2 linked regions of the Caenorhabditis elegans genome follow. The protein of the gene in region 2 interacts with the protein of the main gene of each other region in a biochemical or structural test. Each region holds a gene or a part of one and is shown on either strand. Other genes may lie near its edges. The genes, in order: smu-2 and smu-1.

What was found.
Region 1: the proteins of smu-1 (region 2) and smu-2 are reported together in a solved structure, tested with the Caenorhabditis elegans proteins (one study listed by BioGRID).

The regions. Positions count from the first base shown.
Region 1 is NC_003280.10:3,478,921-3,487,232, forward strand, and holds the start of smu-2 (Smu-2 suppressor of mec-8 and unc-52 protein), read left to right. Parts: upstream 1-3,487; 5' UTR 3,488-3,592; coding exon 3,593-3,609; intron 3,610-3,662; coding exon 3,663-3,945; intron 3,946-4,026; coding exon 4,027-4,263; intron 4,264-5,566; coding exon 5,567-5,793; intron 5,794-7,691; coding exon 7,692-8,033; intron 8,034-8,312. Other genes in the region: Y49F6B.8 (BTB domain-containing protein), read right to left, coding at 304-435, 583-720, 767-928, 972-1,131, 1,183-1,581, 1,633-1,774, 2,709-2,724. UniProt on the Caenorhabditis elegans protein: Auxiliary spliceosomal protein that regulates selection of alternative splice sites in a small set of target pre-mRNA species. Selectively regulates alternative splicing of unc-52 exon 17.
Region 2 is NC_003279.8:12,991,936-13,000,656, reverse strand, and holds the start of smu-1 (Smu-1 suppressor of mec-8 and unc-52 protein), read right to left. Parts: upstream 4,855-8,721; 5' UTR 4,769-4,854; coding exon 4,740-4,768; intron 4,653-4,739; coding exon 4,586-4,652; intron 4,533-4,585; coding exon 4,389-4,532; intron 4,093-4,388; coding exon 3,693-4,092; intron 2,701-3,692; coding exon 2,576-2,700; intron 1,729-2,575; coding exon 1,499-1,728; intron 1,186-1,498; coding exon 1,089-1,185; intron 123-1,088; coding exon 1-122. Other genes in the region: nlp-15 (Neuropeptide-Like Protein), read right to left, coding at 5,522-5,554, 5,606-5,749, 6,236-6,430. UniProt on the Caenorhabditis elegans protein: Involved in pre-mRNA splicing as a component of the spliceosome. Selectively regulates alternative splicing of unc-52 exon 17.

The sequences.
Region 1 (8,312 bases), on a different chromosome or scaffold from region 2:
TGCTCACAAGATTGTATTGATCTCTACTTACAATTAGACATTTTGTTTGGCACAAATAACTCGAATTGAAGCTGAATATTCAAAACAATCTACTAGCAGCCGACATATCACGGGTCATACAAAATTGTCATTTTTTCAGAATTCGTCAACGCTGGCATCAACACTTCACACTGGATCAGTAACTGAAAACATATTCAGACAATTCTTTTTGCCATTTTCTTTCCGAAGTTCTGTCCGTCCGAAAACTAGTTTAAATTTTCAACAAAAAAGTCTAATAAAATGCTTTATTGAACAAGTAAAGAGCTAATCATCCGAAATGGCGTTGATACACGACTTCGCCTTCAACGACTGATAATAAGCATCCGTCACTTGTTCGGCCAGTGAGTCAGGATGATTTGCTCCAGGAGTAGACAAACGCAAGCTGAGTGGGTGTCTCTGGAATTTTATCAAGTTTTAGTACTAAAAGCAAATTCAAATTTTTATCGTAGCGTCGGACATCTACTGGGTTCCGTTTTTGACGTAATTCAACTAAGTTGTGGAACCCGGTAGATGTCAAGTGCTGATTTGAACTAAGCAACTAACCGTATGAATCATAGTTCGAATGAAATCGTGTGCATGGTAAGACACGATAGTGGCAATGCAGCACGTTTCAACGTTTCGAAACTTGGCGTCCTCAGCGATGATCATCAAATTGCAGACATATGGAAGGTCCTCATAGTTCTGAAAATATTACGGTATTTGATTAAAGCAAACACACAACTTTTACCGTCTGCAGCTCCAGACAAAGATGTTTTTCGAGCGAGCTTCTCAGCTTTTCCGAATCAGGATTGGTGAACCAATGCTCAGCCAAAGATGATATCTCAGAAGCCAATCTTGGTGTGAGCTGGGCAGGCTTTTTGTAATGTCTGGTGACCATGTATACGAGACACTGAAATTAAACGGTCCCAAATATTCAGAAAACGTCAACCTACGATGTTAATAGCCTCCACATCGGAGCATTCAACGGTGAGCTCTGTGGTGTGCTCCGTCAAAAATGCACGGAAGTACCCAGAAGCCAGACAGACCATCTCACTGTTAGTCATCACGAATTGAGTTCCATCAGATGTGATGAGTTTCAGATTTTTTGGGAATCTAAAAAAAAACTTTTTGAATTCAAAGAAGTGCTGCAAATCAAAAACTGACTTTGCAGTAATTGCATCGAAGTTGCTTTCAGAAGTTTCTGTTTCAATTGGTGCTCCTTCTTCCAACAAGTACTTCAAATCCGCGAAATCGTCTCGATCGTACACCCACTGAGTTTCCAATTCAAGTTCTTGTTCATTCTTCTCTGCGGAGACCATCAACTCTGAGAGATCTTTTCCGTGTGGATCAGTTCGAAAGGTCTTTGATTCCATTGCGACTCTTCCTTCATTTATTTGTCCATCGAGTACATATTTGAGGCTGTTCTCAACACTTCCATCTTTTTCCATCACATTCAATGTGAATTGTATTTTTTGGGGTGGTGGATATTTATCACGAATTGCCCTTTGCACCAATTTGAGTTTCCATGGGGAATCAAGCGGATACCGATTGAGTTGAAGAACCCTAAATAAAATTTTATATATTTTACCTTCCAACTTCGAAAAAATCACTCACCATTTTAGCATGTTTCCCTCAAAAACCGTGGCAAATTGCTCTTGGAAAATAATAGACACATCAGTTGGTCGAGCATTTTTTGGAGGAATTTTAAAACTGTGATGATGGTTGAAGGTGACTATATTGTCTGCGAGTTGATACTCTGGAATATTGATTTTTTTGAAGATTTCATAGTCTTCTTGGATTTCAAAAATTGAAATATTTCAGCTGTATTAAAAGAGAATAAATAAAATGATATTGCCTAGGGGTGAGCGGCAAACGATTTTTTCCGGCAAATCGGCAAATCGACAAATTGCCGGAATTGGAAATTTCCAGCAAATCGGCATATCGGCAATTTGCCGGAATTTAAAATTTCCGGCAAACCGGCAAACCGGCAAATTGCCGATTTGCCGAACTTCGGTAAATTTGCAAATCGGTAATTTGCCGAAAATTTTCGGCAAATTGTGGTTTTGCACTTATTTTTTGGAATTTCAATTTCAAATGGCAAAATTAAACGCATCATATGAATTTTTCTATATCTATTTTGAGAAGTTCTATGAAAATATGTAGAAAAAACGGGAAAAATTCAATAATAGACAGTTTTAAGTGCTTCCGTCTTATAAAAAATCCCTCTAAACATTTCCGGCAAATCTGGTATTCGGCAAATCGGCAAGTCGGCAATTTGCCGTAAATTAAAATTTCCGGCAAAACGGCAAACCGGCAAATTGCCGGAATTGGAAATTTCCGGCAAATCGGCAAATTGCTTGCCCATTTTTTGATTCTTAGTCGGCGTTTTACACAAAAGATAAATTCCAATAAAAGACAGAACTTTGCTTTTTGCCAGAAATTAAAAAATTGGGGCAAACCAATCCAAATATGAAGTGTAAACTTGGGTTTGCACCAGGGCTGTGCGGAAACCGGCAATTGCCGAAATTGCCGAACCCTAAAAACTTTGGCAACCGGCAACTTTTGCTGGCTGGAACTTCGGCAACTTTTCGGCAAACGGCAACTTGGTTGCCGGTTGCGCAAAGCTCTGGTTTGCGTTTAGTAGCAAGGCTTCCTGAAAGAATTCCGGAGGAAAACTCCCCCTAACTCACCTTTTACTCTATGCATCTGCTTAATTTTGTGCAATTGTAGTGCAAATAGTAGGAAATGAATTTTTTTTCCGCCATTTTTTCCTTTTCCTATTTCTGCTTTTCAATTTCCACGTGGAGCTCTTTTAAAATGAAAATTTAAACTCTAGATATTTCACGTTTTAAAAAAAAAAAATTTTAATTTTCTATCGGTTTTACTTTTGACGAAAAGGGTTCACAGACATTGGAAATAATCATCATTTACTATATATAAAGCGCTTATTCTGTGTGTCCATAGTTTGTAGTCTCTGTAGTCTTTGTAGTCTGTGAAGTTTTGGCTTCTGGAGGGATAGTGAGTTGGGGTCAGTGTAGGGATATAGTCGGGGTACTGTAGTGGTACAATAGTGGTACGGTAGGAATACTGTAGGGTTACGGTAGTTTCATAAAAAATTAATTTTCAGCCCCAGAAGTCGGGGGCCGCGCCGAAGGTGCCTAGACCTAAGCCTAGGCCTCAGCCTAAGCCTAATTACATCAAAAAAGCTATGACTTTTGGATCATTTTGACTTCTTTTCTAGAACGCATAATGAAATAATTCTTAATTTCATCGGCTTTTTCTCATCGTTGCTTAGAAGTATTGTCTTGAAAATTGATATTTTTAGAAAGTACACATATTTCTCAATCCTTTTATTTAAATTTCTGAAAGAAACTTTGCCACAACGGTGAGAAAAGGGTGCCCGAAAAATGTGCATTTAAATGTGAAAAATATCCGTGGCCGCGGCCTAAGAACCCCCGTCGGCCATGTGGTGCAAGTGCGCTCTGTTGCGGATTTTTATATTTAATTGCATTTTCGCATATTCGAACGATTTTCCTGATTTTCCAGCCGAAATTGTCCATTAAAAAGTGGAAAAATGGCTGATAATCCAACGTAAGTGATTTTATTATTTTTTATAGCTATTTTCCATAACCCAAACCTTCCAGAAACCTGCGAAACGCCGATTTTCGAAAGCTCCTGACTTCAGCTCGGAGTGATCGTCCAGCAGTCTCGGCCTTTGCAAAACCGGCCGACCCGAAAACCGGCGACGATAAGCCTGCAAGCTTCAAGCACAAACATCTGAAACCGGCTAAATTCAAAAAACCACAGGCGGCCGCTCACGGGAAGGCGAAAAAAGAGAAAACCGAGGCGGACGAGGATGAGGCCGCGCTCAAAAATATTCTGAAAAACTATAGAGATCGTGCAGCGGAGAGACGCAAGCAAGGCGATGTTAGTAGAATTAAAATATCATATAATTTTTGCCAAATTTCATTAAATTCCATTAAAAAACCTGAAAAATCGATTTTTTAGGAAAAAGAAGATCCATCAAAACTCACGGCGGCATATCGTGCAGTTCCAGGAGACGCCCGTTCGGCTCAGGATCAGGCAGATTTGCGAAAACAGGCGATTTTAGAATCGAAATATCTTGGAGGAGATTTGGAGCACACTCACTTGGTCAAAGGTCTCGATTATTCGCTTTTGAACAAAGTTCGAAGTGAAATTGACAAAAGTGATGATGATGACGATGATGATATTGATACGGCATTTGTAAGGAGTTGAACGGCTGAAAAATCGATATTTTGAGCGAAAAAAGCCGGAAAAATGGATTTTATCGGATAAAATTTGATTTTTTGAGCTGAGAAATGCCTTTATAGACGAATTTCCTTGTCAAATTGTTAAAAACTGCAAAATTTGCCAAAAAAAAAGCATTTTTTATATTTTTTTTTACAAAAAATTCCACAAAAATGGCAAAATTTGACTAAAAATGCCAATTTTGTCGTTTTCTCCGTGCCACAGCGGCCGAAAATCGATTTTTAAGCGATTTTCGGGTGAAAAAGTGTAAAAACCGACTGAAAATCCAGCTGAAAACGACAAAAACGGTAAGTTTTAGCTAATTTTCACCTTTTTTTCGATATTTTTTTACTAAAAAAAAACCGAAAAATTGAGTTTTTTTCAAATTTCTGCAAAAATTCTGCAATTTTAGCAATTTCCATACTATTTTGACGCCGAAAAAGCTTAAAAATATGATTTTTAGAGGTTTTTAATGGAAAATTCATGGATTTTTCAAATTTTTCCACGAAAATCATTGAAAAATTTGAAAAAATTGATTTCCTATTCAAAGTTCTAGCTAAAAACTGCAATTTTAGCAATTTCCATACTATTTTAGTACTGAAAAAGCCTAAAAATGTGATTTTCAGAGGATTTCAATGGAAAATTCATGGATTTTTCCAATTTTTCAATGAAAACCATTGAAAAACCCTGGAAAATTGAGTTTTTCTTCAAAGTTTAGGAAATTTATGAGAATTTTTGAATAAAAAATTTTTAAATTTGAAAAAAATTGAAATTTTAATTCTAAATTTTAAAGAAAGTTGATTTTTTAATAATTTTTTTTTTTGAATAAAAAAAAATCAACTTTCTTTAAAATTTAGAATTAAAATTTCAATTTTTTTATTCAAAAATTCTCATAAATTTCGTAAACTTTTAATAAAAACTCAATTTTTCCGATTTTTTTCGATGATTTTCACTAAAAAATTGGAAAAATTCATCAATTTCCTATTGAAAACCTCTAAAAATTATATTTTTTTTGCTTTTCCGACGTCAAAATAGTATGGAAAATGCTAAAATTGCAGAATTTTTCCAGAAATTTGAAGAAAAAACTCAATTTTTTCCGTTTTTTCAATGATTTTCATGAAAAAATTGGAAAATTTTGTAAATTTTCCATTGAAAACCTCTGAAAATTTGGAAATTTTCGAATTTAAATGTTTAAAAAAAATTGAATATTTTGCGAGTTTTTGAATTTTTTTTGAGAATTTTTGAATTTTTTTCACCCAAAATTTTTTCAATTTTTCAGGACGAAAAAGTGACGTCATCATCATCATCGTCAAAACCATCAGAAGCCAGTTTGCTGGCTCAAGAACTTGCTCAATCTCATTCTGAAAATCGAATGGTCAGAAGTTTGCATCGAGTTCTGTTTAAAAATGAAGTACCCCTTCACAATCAACTTTTCGCAAAAGGACGAATGGCTTATGTTGTAGAGCTGGAAGATGAGGAAACTGACATTCCGACGACGTTGTTGAGGTGCTGAAGCTCGAAAATTTGGAGCTTTTACACGAGATTTTTGAAGAAAAAGCCTGAAAATCGAGAGATTTTGAGCTGTGGAATTCGTTGAAATTACATAATTCGCGCCCGTAATTCTTTAAAAAAACGCTGAAATTTGCAGATTTTGCCAGAAAGTTGAAGAAAAATCTACTTTTCCGGCATTCTCTATTATTTTCATGGAAAATTAGAAAAATCCATGAATAAACAGTGAAAATTGCTGATTTTACCTGAAATTTTGAAAAAAAAAAAAATCTAAAATCAAGGTTTTAAGCCTAAAAACTGCAGATTTCAGCCAAAATTGTGAAAAAAGCTGATTTTTTGCTATTTTGAGCTTTTCCATGGGGTGGAAATTGCCAAAAATTACGGAACATTCACACAAATTTGCTGAATAATCCAATTTTCCAGTGTTTTCTAGAGTTTCCGTAGAAATTTTGAAAAAACCCAGTAAATTTTCAATCGGAAAACCTCTAAAAACATCGTTTCAGGCCTATAAATAGTAAAAATTACCGATTTTATTCGAAAATTTAAGGAAAAGTCGTGAAAAACGAGATTTTAAGCCTCAAAACTGCAGATTCTATCTAAAATTAAAAAAAAAAAACATAAATATCCGAATTTTTGGAGGAAAAGCCTGAAAATCGATATTTTAAGCCTCAAAACTGAAGATTTCAGCCAAAAAAAAAAACAGATTTTTCGCTATTTTATGTGCCAAAAAACCACATTCCGAGCTTTTCCAGAGTGGAAATTGCCAAAAATTACAGAATTTTCCCAGAAATTAGCAAAAAAAAAACCCATTTTTCAGGCGTTTTCAACGATTTTCATAGCAAATTTGAAAAATCCATGAATTTTTTAATTATAGAAAACCCTCTGAAAATTGCAGTTTTAAGCTATTCCAGCATTCAAATAGTATGGAAATTGCTAAAAATTGAAGAATTTTCCCAAAAATTTGATGAAAACTTATTTTTCTGGCGTTTTCGATGATTTTCATGGAATTTCGAGAAAATTAATGAATTTTCAATTAAAAAACGTCTGCAAAATCACATTTTTTAAAGCTTTTTCAGCAACAAAATAGTATGGAAATTGCTTTTTAAAAAAGCGGAATTTTTGGAAAAAAGGTTAAATTTTCAGTCAGTTTTTGCACTTTTTGACTGAAAATTCACTGAAATTAGGGAAAAATTCCGGAAAAATGATTTTTTCGAATTGTAGGGCAAATTTTGCAATTTCAAGCAATTTCCATAATATTTTAATGCTGGAAAAGCTCAAATTTACGTTTTAATGGGATTTTAGTGAAAAATTCATGGATTTTCCGAAAAATTTGCAGGAAAATCATAGTAAAGACCTCAAAAAATCAATAAAAAATTTAAAAAATTGGACAATCACATTTCTGCGTAAAATCTGCACTTTTTCAGTAAAAAATACCGATTTTCCGTGAAAATTCTCGATTTTTAATCGAAAATCTCGAAATTTTTACAAATTTCAGCACCAAAATCGTTGAAAATTCTGAAAATTTGAATTTTTTTTCCTTGTTTTTTGAGTAAAATTTGCACTTTTTCAGTAAAGAATACCGATTTTCCGTGAAAATTCTCGGTTTTTAATCGAAAATCTCGAAATTTTTACAAATTTCAGCTCCGAAATAGCTGAAAATTGGACAAAAATTTCAATTTTTGCCCTGTTTTTTGAGTAAAATCTGCACTTTTTAGTTGAAAAAAAACACGGATTTTGTAGGAAAATTTGGGAAAAATCTCCAAATTTTCACAATTTTCCAGTAAAAACAGCAATTTTTAAAACGGTTTTTAATCAAAAATCTTTAGAATTTTCCAAATTTCAGCACCAAAAAAGCTAAAAATCGCTGAAATTTTCGACAAATTCCAAATTTCCAGGTCTCTCCACGACTTGCCACGTGCCGAATCTGCTCAATCAATTCAAGCGAACAATCTCATCATTTTAAAGCTCTCACATGTGCTCTCTCATCTTCGCGCCGAGCCAAAAAAGAAGAAAAAAGAGGAATTTCGAGTTCAATTGGGCTCCAGAGATGCTCCAGGAGCAGCAGCAGCAGCTCCTGGAGCCAAAGGAGATAGTATCTATGATGATCTTGACGATTATGTTCCATCAAGAAAGTCTAGAGATTCAAGAGACGCAGGTAGAAGAGGAAGTCGGCGGGATAGATCACGGGATAGATCAAGGGATCGGGATCGTGATAGAGATCGTGATAATCGGGATAGGTTGGTTTTTCCGAGAGAAAAACGCTGAAAAATGCCGAAAATTTTGAATTTGCAGGCTTTTTAGGTGCAAAAGTACGGAAAAATCGGAAAAAAATCAGGAAAACATGGGGAAAATCCAATTTTCCAGAAAAAATGTTTGAAAAAATTGAAAACTTTTGTTTTTTTAGTAATAAAGTTTTAAAAAATGGCAAAAATAGCTGAAAACAGCGAAAAAAAAAAATGTTTTTTTCAGGAAAAAATTTGCAAAAAAATGAAGAGCAACAATAATTCCCTTTTTTT
Region 2 (8,721 bases):
CTTTTCGGAATTGGAATCACATTTAATATTGGATAATCTTCACTTCCAACACGGAATGTTGAAAGGCATTCACCCGATTTTCCATGCCAAACACGAATTGAACCATCTGTTGAACATGAGATCTGGAAATTATTTGGGATTTTTAATTTTTTTAAGTCTAAATTTTTTTTCTGAAATTTAAATTTGAAACTTGGAAAAAAATATATATATATAGAAAAAAAATCAATTTTTCCGGATTTCTGCAACGTTTCTAAACAGTAAAAAGCAAAATCAATATGGAGGGGAAACGTCAGAAAAAGTGCACAAAATGACGTGTGTAAACATAGAAATATGTGGGATTTGTGTGAGAAAAGAAATACAGAGATAACATGCATTTGATTGCGGCTAACATACTACAAACTACAATTTTTTCCCGATTTTCTCGCGATTTCTTATATGTTTTTAGCTGTTTAATTGTAGTTATTTAATGAAAATTGTTATTTTTATTGTAAAACTTCAAAAAATAGATATAAATTTTGCAGCAATGAAAGTTTAGAACTACAGTACTCCTTAAAGGTGCACACCCATTTTCAGGAACCGTATTTTTTACGCAAAAAACCGCAAATTTTCGAATTTTAGTATCGTTTTTCGTAATATACAATTTGATTTGTTTCTCTTTATAAATAAAATTACAAAGAATTGCAGGTTTGAAAAAAACACGACTTTTTTAATTAAAATTTTCTGTTACATTTTTCAAATTTTTTTTTGCTTTTTTTTTTTTGCAATTTAACATTTAAAAACTGTCTCTAAACATATTCTTACAACATTTTTTAAATTTGTTTAAACATTAAATATTTTTTGCATTAAAAAACTTTGCATTTTTTCAAACTTTTTGAATTTTTAAATGTTTATTTTGTTCAATTTTTTAGAAATTTTATTTTTATTCTAAGCATTTTTGAAAACATTTTTTTGCGTTTTTTTTTTAATTTTACAAACTACAAATTAGTACAGTTTTCGGATTTTGTCCCAAAATATTTAAAAATTGATGCGTTTTTTAAAAAGAAAATAAATGAAAATTAGACTACAAACTGCACTTTTCAAAAACTCACAATATGATTTCCCTCATCGGAATATCTGACATCTGTAATATAACTCGAGTGCCCACGCATTTCCTTCAAACATTTTCCGCTCTTCATTCCATGAACTCTGAACAAAATTTGTAGTTATTGTAGTTATTAGATTCAAAAAAAGTAATTGTATAAATGTTTTGGTCCAAAATTTACAAGTTTTGTGAATTTTCTAGTTGAAAATTGAAAATTTGAAAATTACATTTAAAAAATTGTGTATTTCTCAAAACTTTTTTGTATGAAATTTTTTCTCAAATAATGACTTTTGGGGCTAAAAAGCATGAAAATTCACAATTTTAAGGGAAAAAATCGTATGAAAATTGTTTTTTTTTCTGGATTTTTTGAAGAAACTTCACAAAAAATTTAGGCGGTAGGCAGGCAGGTAGTCGTACCTCACAACATGATCATTTCCACCCGACAAAATATGTGAATTATCTTTTGAGAATCGAACAGCACAAACTCCTTTCGTGTGAGCTCTATCAAATCTTCGAAGACAATCACCAGTTTCCACTTTCCAAACTTTAATTTTTCCGTCAATTGAGCCTGTGGCGAGCATTTCAGAATCACGACTAAATGATATACATCTCACTGCTGCATCCATCATCATTAGATTATCTTGGGCCTGAAAATATTGAAAATTGTTGGAAAATGAATGTAGATTTTTTTTTGTGCTTTTTTGGTAGGGTTACTGTAGTTTATGAAAAATTGAGGTGTAAGTTTTTGAGGAGGTATTGGGTTGGGAGCTGGTGGGGGGCAATGTTCAGGTACTGTAGGTATACGGTAAGGTTACTGTAGTTTGGAAAAAGTAGATTTTTTATTAATTTTTAACATGAAAATTGTAATTTTAGAGTAGTTTATATAAATAAATGGTGGCAATTTTAATTTCTCAACATTTTCGATTAGTCACTTTTTTAGGTGGCATTTCCTCAAAATGTTGAATTTTTAAGCTAAAAATTGTAACTTTTCTTTAATTTCTCAACATTTTCGTTTATTTACCATATTTTACGAAAATTTTAATGTAATTTCTCCAGAATTTTGAACTTTTCCAACCAAAAAAAATAGATTTTTGATTTGTTTTAATGCTTTTAAAATGACAAAATATGAATTTCTGAACATTTTAAATTATTCACTCTATTTCAGGTGAAATTTCCGAATTTTGTGGCAATTTTAATGGGATTACACCGAAATTTTGAAGTTTTAGATGAGAAAAACTGATTTTTTTTCTAAATTCAAGAGTGTTTCCATCCAATTTTTTATAAAAAATTTAAGAAATTTGATGTTTGTGGAATTTTTATTGCAATTTTGAAATTTTACGCAAAAATTTCGGTTTTTTTGCGAAAAATGCGCTTCCAAAGTTATTTTTCTTCCATTTTGTGGAATTTTTGCAATTTTTCTTCAAAACAATTCATAAAAACCCTAGATTTTTATGATTTTCTACTTCAAAAACCCAAAAATTCTAAAAAATCTACCTGATATTTCAAATCCTTTCTCAATTTTCCATTCATATAATTCCAAACTTCGATAAATCCGTCTTTTGAGCCAGAAACAAGATAATTAGCGTCCGGTGAGAAAACTGCCGATTCGGGATAACTTTCTGAAAGAATTTAGGGTTTAAAAATGGAAAATTTGATATTTTCGGTAATTTTTGGAATTAAATCATAGTTTTTTAATTAATTTTCTAAGATTTCAGGCGATTTTTCATTCAAACCCCCGTTTTTCTTTTAAAAAACCCATAAATCCCAGTATTTTTCGATTAAAAAATCAATTTTTTGTTTAAAAATCCCTTTATCTAAAATTTTGACAAAAAATCTCTAAAGTTCAGAAATTAATTCAATTTTCAGATTTTCAAGTGGTTTCACTCGAAAAATTAGATTTTTCAATGTAAAAATGCTTGAAAAATTCAAATTTGATATTTTAGAAAGTGGTTGACTGGCTACAAAATACAAGTTTTTGAGTTTTTTCTGAATTTTTGTTGAAAAAATACAGACTTTAGGTCGGATTTTTAGATTTTCGAATTTCAGTGCAAAATTTTGAGTAAAAAAAACTTAATTTTTTAATTTTTAATTTTTAATTTTTTTTTTTTTTTTTTAATTTTTTTTTTTTTTTATAAATTTAATTTCTGAAAATTTTATAAATTTAATTCTGAAAAAAAAATACAATTTTGGTCCAAATAATAGTAAATTCGAAATTTTACTCAAAAAATCGAAAATTTAATTGATAGAGGCCTAGACTACAAACTACGAAATTCAAATTTTCTGGATTTTTTTCAAAAAAAAATATTGTAAAAAAATTAATAATTAAGGTCGGAATTCTAGATTTTTGAGAAACCGCCAATTTTTATATTTATTTTCGAATTTTAGGGCATCATTTTGCAATTTTTGATTCCTAAAAAAATCCTTTTTTATAGGAAAAAATTGAAATTTTACAATATTTTCTAATCATTCACGCTATTCTTTGAACTTTCACAATGAAAAAAATTCCAATTCTCAGAAAATAGGCTCAGAAATCTAATTTTAAGTCGGTCAAAGCTTAAAAAATGCACTTTTTAATCAATTTTTCAAATTTTAAAGCAATTTCAATCCGTACTCGTTGAGAATTTAATGCTTCTAGCCATCATAGTCGGATATCTTTCTTCAATTTGCTCTTTCTGTGCAGCTTTTCCTCTAAATAAATCAATTGCAGTTCCAGGTGGAAGAAGTCCTTGATGAAGTTGCCATTTAAGTGATTGTCCAAGTAAACTCAAAAGTCTTGACGGAGCAACTACATGAACTTCTGATGAAAGAGTTTGTGCAATTACGGAGCGTCGTTTCTCTTTACTAACATCTCCATAAACCTCTTGTCCATCGAAATACGGGCGGTTGATAAGAGATTCCAGGCGGGCGAATCGATCCGGATCAATTTGTTTTAGCAAAATCATTGGATCAGTCTGACGGGCGACGAGACGGGCGGTCGCCAGCTCACGGAGCTCCACAAGCTCGATTATTACCTGAAAATTTGAAAAATTTACGAGGAAATTGTTTTTTGTACTAAATTTTCAGGAAAATCTACAATTTGAGCCGAAAAGGTGAAATTTTATTTAAAAACTGCAAAATTTGGGGTTAAAATCTGGCAATTCTGAAGAAAATTCGCTTAAAAACGCGATTTCAACGTAGTTTTTGATTTTTTTTTTTTTTGTTTTACAGCGTGAAATAATGAATATTCAACAATTTTTGGTGAAAATCCCGCGAAAAATTCAATTTTTCAAGTAAAATCTCGGTTTTTTCCTTCTTTCCCATATCTTACATGTTCATACAGATCGATAAGTTTCTTGGCGGGTAATTTCAACGATTGAACGGTTTTCAACACGTTATCCCAATTTCCAGACGTAATTTCATTACAAAATCCATCAATTGAGTCGACTGTATTGAGCGAAACGTTGGTTTCTTCCTGAAATTATCGATTTTCTTTCATTTTCCCAGTTGAAAAATGCAGGAAAATACCTGCAAAATCGCCAGAGTTCGGTGCAAATTCGATTCTTTGAGGAATTGTTCGATGAGACGGATTACACTGAAAATATCGAGGATTAATGATTTTTGGGTTATTTTAAATGAATTTTTACACATTTTGAATGAAAAACTTTTTAGATAAACTTACTCTGAAGATTCGATCTCAATCGATGACATTTTCAGCGAAAATTCGGTGAAAAACGGCTGAAAATGACGTGTAAAATTCGAATATCCTCGGACACGAGAAGTGCGCCAGCCTTTTTGGAAGCGATCGGCAAATGCGCCAGCACGAGCGCTTGGCGTGTTTTGCGTTTTTGGAGCGAATTTCAAATTGGAGTTTTTTGTGGACTTGCATTTGTGTTTAAACTCTTTTTTTTTCAGAAAATATTTTTGCCTGAGATTTTTTTTCATGCACAGTTACAAAAAACAACAGTTTATCCGTTAAAAATCGATAAAATTCCAGAGATTTTTGCTTGACTACGTTAGTTCTCAAAATCCACAGTTTGCGTACAATGCATTTTATCAGCACGTTTTTCTGTTTTTTACAATTGATTTTTTTCCAGCTCCATTTTCTTCAATAAATATGAAAAAACAGGACGACATTCTTTATTTTTTTAAAATAAATTCTTATTCTCACACACGCACACCGGTACTTGTGTTCGTATGAATAGGTTTTTTGAGATTAAAGTATAAAATTTGAAAAAAAAGTTTGAAAAAAAAGGAATTATAATAAAAAGTGTGTGAGCAGGGGCTGTCGTCAGGAATACTGGGGGACTGGGCTTGTGTGTGTCGTTCGTTGGAGCTACCTGAAAACAAAAAAAAATTATTCCAAAAATTTCACTTTTCATTTGATTAACAACATTAAAATCAGTTGCTTACCTCAAAAATATGTGCTTGAATTGAACCAAATTTTAAATATCAGTGAGCTCTTCACAATTTGAAATCGTCAAAGCCTGACGTGCTCTGAAAATTATTGAAAATTCGAAAAACTGGAATTTCCACCGAAAACCGTACCACTGTATCAAAGGCGCGTTTCTCAAATCCAGTAAAACCTTGTCCAGCCAGTGAATCGAAAGCTCTTTTGTCAAAACCGCTGAAGCCGGATCCGGCTAGCGAGTCAAAAGCGCGTTTGTTGAACGCACCGAAGCCACTTCCCGCCTGAAAAATTTGGAGTTGTTTGGAGAGGAAAGACTACAAACTACAAACTACAAACTACATTTTCACCAAGAGCTTAACCATATGGGCACGTGGTGCCAGGCTGTCCTATTACGGTTTGATCTACAAAAATGCGGAAATTTTTCGCGCAGAAAAATGTGACGTCAGCACATTCTCAACCATGCAAAATCAGTTGAGAACTACGCGTCACTTCTCCCGCATTTTTTGTAGATCTGCGTAGATCAAACCGAAATGAGACACTTTGAAACCAAGTGTAGTTTGTAGCATGAAAAAAATTGTTAAAAATCTGGACTTTGCTCAAAAACCGTTAGAAATATTTTTAAAAATTCGTCAATTGAAAAATGTTTGCTTCAAAATTTTAAACATTTTTAACGAACTTTGGAACAGCTTTTTCTAATCGATCACCGAAAAAAGTTAGGCAGTAGGCAGACACACACGCCTGATGGCTTAAGGCCACCTTCAACTCACCAATGAATCAAATGCTCTTTTATTGAATGCTCCGAAACCTGAACCAGCAAGACTGTCGAATGCTCGTTTGTTGAATCCATTATCAAAACCACTTCCAGCTAACGAATCGAATGCTCTTTTCTCGTGAGGTCGATTCAGGAAGAACAATGAGCCAACTGGACGTAGTCGGACAGCTGCACTTTCCACTGTGGACATCTGGAATTAAAAACTATTTGAACCTTTTTAAATGTTAATAAAATAACTAGTTTTGCCTAAATTATATAATGTAGAAAAAACTAAGTTAGTATACTATTGATGCAGTATTACAGAATTATATGTCTTGAATTCAAATAGTGCTCAGCTAACACAGTTCTGTAGTTTGTAGTGTCTCCCTTTCACCCTCCACCAGGACCCCCCTAGCCATCCCAATATCAACGAGGGGCCCCCCTACACATGTTTATGTCTATGTCATCATGATGCCTGGCGAGTTTGTTGGCACTTTGTAATTGGAAAATTTCGTTTGACGCACTTCTTCGCTTCCCCGTTTTATTTCGCGTCATTGGACACGAGATGTGATACATTTTGTTTTTTTATTTTTTGGGAAGGAGGACTCACAAACTTGGGTCTTGACAAGAAGAGAGGTGGATTAAATAGTATTTACTTCAGTGATTGAAGAGGATTAGATGTTGAGGAAGTTCCGAGAAATGTCAGGATGTTAGGAGGACATAAGACACGGCATAAATTTTATGGTACGAAATATAGGACTGGAAAACAAGTTAGGACTACTAACAAAAAAATGTTTAGGGGTTCGGGGACGGACACTCGAAACTATAAGTTTGATATTTTTGTCTTCAACTGTTAAATGTGAATTCTGTTAATATATAAAAAGTTTCGCTATATATTTTATATATTTATTTATTTCAATACGTTTTTTAATCCCTTTTTTGTTGAATACTAAATTTGTCAAAATAGGTAATCGTGAATGTGGGGAAATTCATAAACGCACAGTGTCCGCCGCTAACTAACAGGGGTTTCACGTTGTTAACTAAACTTTGCCGTCTTTGCCGTTTTTTGGAACCACACGTGGTGCCAGGCTGTCCCATTACGGTTTGATCTACAAAAAATGCGCGAATGTTTTTGCCCAAACAACTGTGACGTATGCACGTCCTTAACCATGCGAAATCAGTGTCTCTTCTCCCGCATTTTTTGTAGATCTACGTAGATCAAACTGAGATGAGACGCTCTGATACCACGTGGCATCATAGAATTTTTGAAAAATACTTACTACGATTCTAAGTAACTTATATACATCCATTCCTCCTCTTCTTAGAAATAAGGGTCCTTGAGTATCACTATAATTTAACTAACATTAGTAATAATACAATCCCTTACCCTCTTTCCCACATAACATATATATTATTGAAGTTTGATCACCACCACCACAGCCCACTCATTTTGCACAAGAAACAAAAAAAAACATATTACTCTCCGTTCCTTTTCATTCATTCCCTCCTTTTGAAATTTTAATCAGTAGAAAAACGAAATGCATTAGTGTTTTTTGGGTTCTGCTGATGTGGCTGTGGCGCATGGAAAACGAACGAGTTGCAATTAATTATTTATGATAATGAGTAGTCGTCAGAAAATGGAAAAAGGTTTTTGGACGAGAATGGAGAAAAACTCGGCCACCGATTTATCGCTGGTTACAGTACTCCAAGGGTGAGATTTGTGTAGTGAGGGTTAATAAGACATGTGGAATTCAAAATTCAAAATTAAAATTTTCCAAAAAATCAGAAGTTCAAAAACTACAAATATGTTCTATCCACAGACCGAAGCCATCAGCATAACAACTATAGTACGTTCAGGCAAAGCAGTTTTACAGTTTGTCGTCGGGAGAAAATTTTGTTTTCTCTGTTCCCCATAAATACAGTAGACATCTCAGATCTTATTTAAATTCAGAGAACGTCTAATATTATTGACTGAAAACAATTAAGGCTAACAAAACTTATAGTTTGTCTCCCTTAGCCTCACCCACTTTGACTAATTAGTGATTAATGAAATCCGACAAATCTCGGTTTATTGGAACATTTATTAAAAAGTTCCCACATAAATTGGAAAATAGTTGATGAACCTTGGAAGAAATTAAATTTTGAAAAAGGCGGAAAAAACATTTAACTTTAACAATATTCGAAAGCGCTTTTCTATAAATTTTCATTGAAAATTAATGGTGAAATTTGGATAACGATTTTCTAAAATATGGTCTTGGAAATAATTAATTTGAAAAAATTCTCAAACTACTTTTCGAAATAAAATTTTATCTTAAAAATTTTTTTTCAAATTTTCAGACTCTAACCCTAAATTAAAATTATTTTTAACATCCGAGCCATCGTTGTGTTTTTTTTTTAATTTAAATGCAAAAAAAATGTAGAAAAAAAAAGTGTTTTTTTCGAAAGTTCTGAATTTGAACATTTTTGTAAACGTTTTTTTTTTAAGGTTGAAAAGGTTAATTT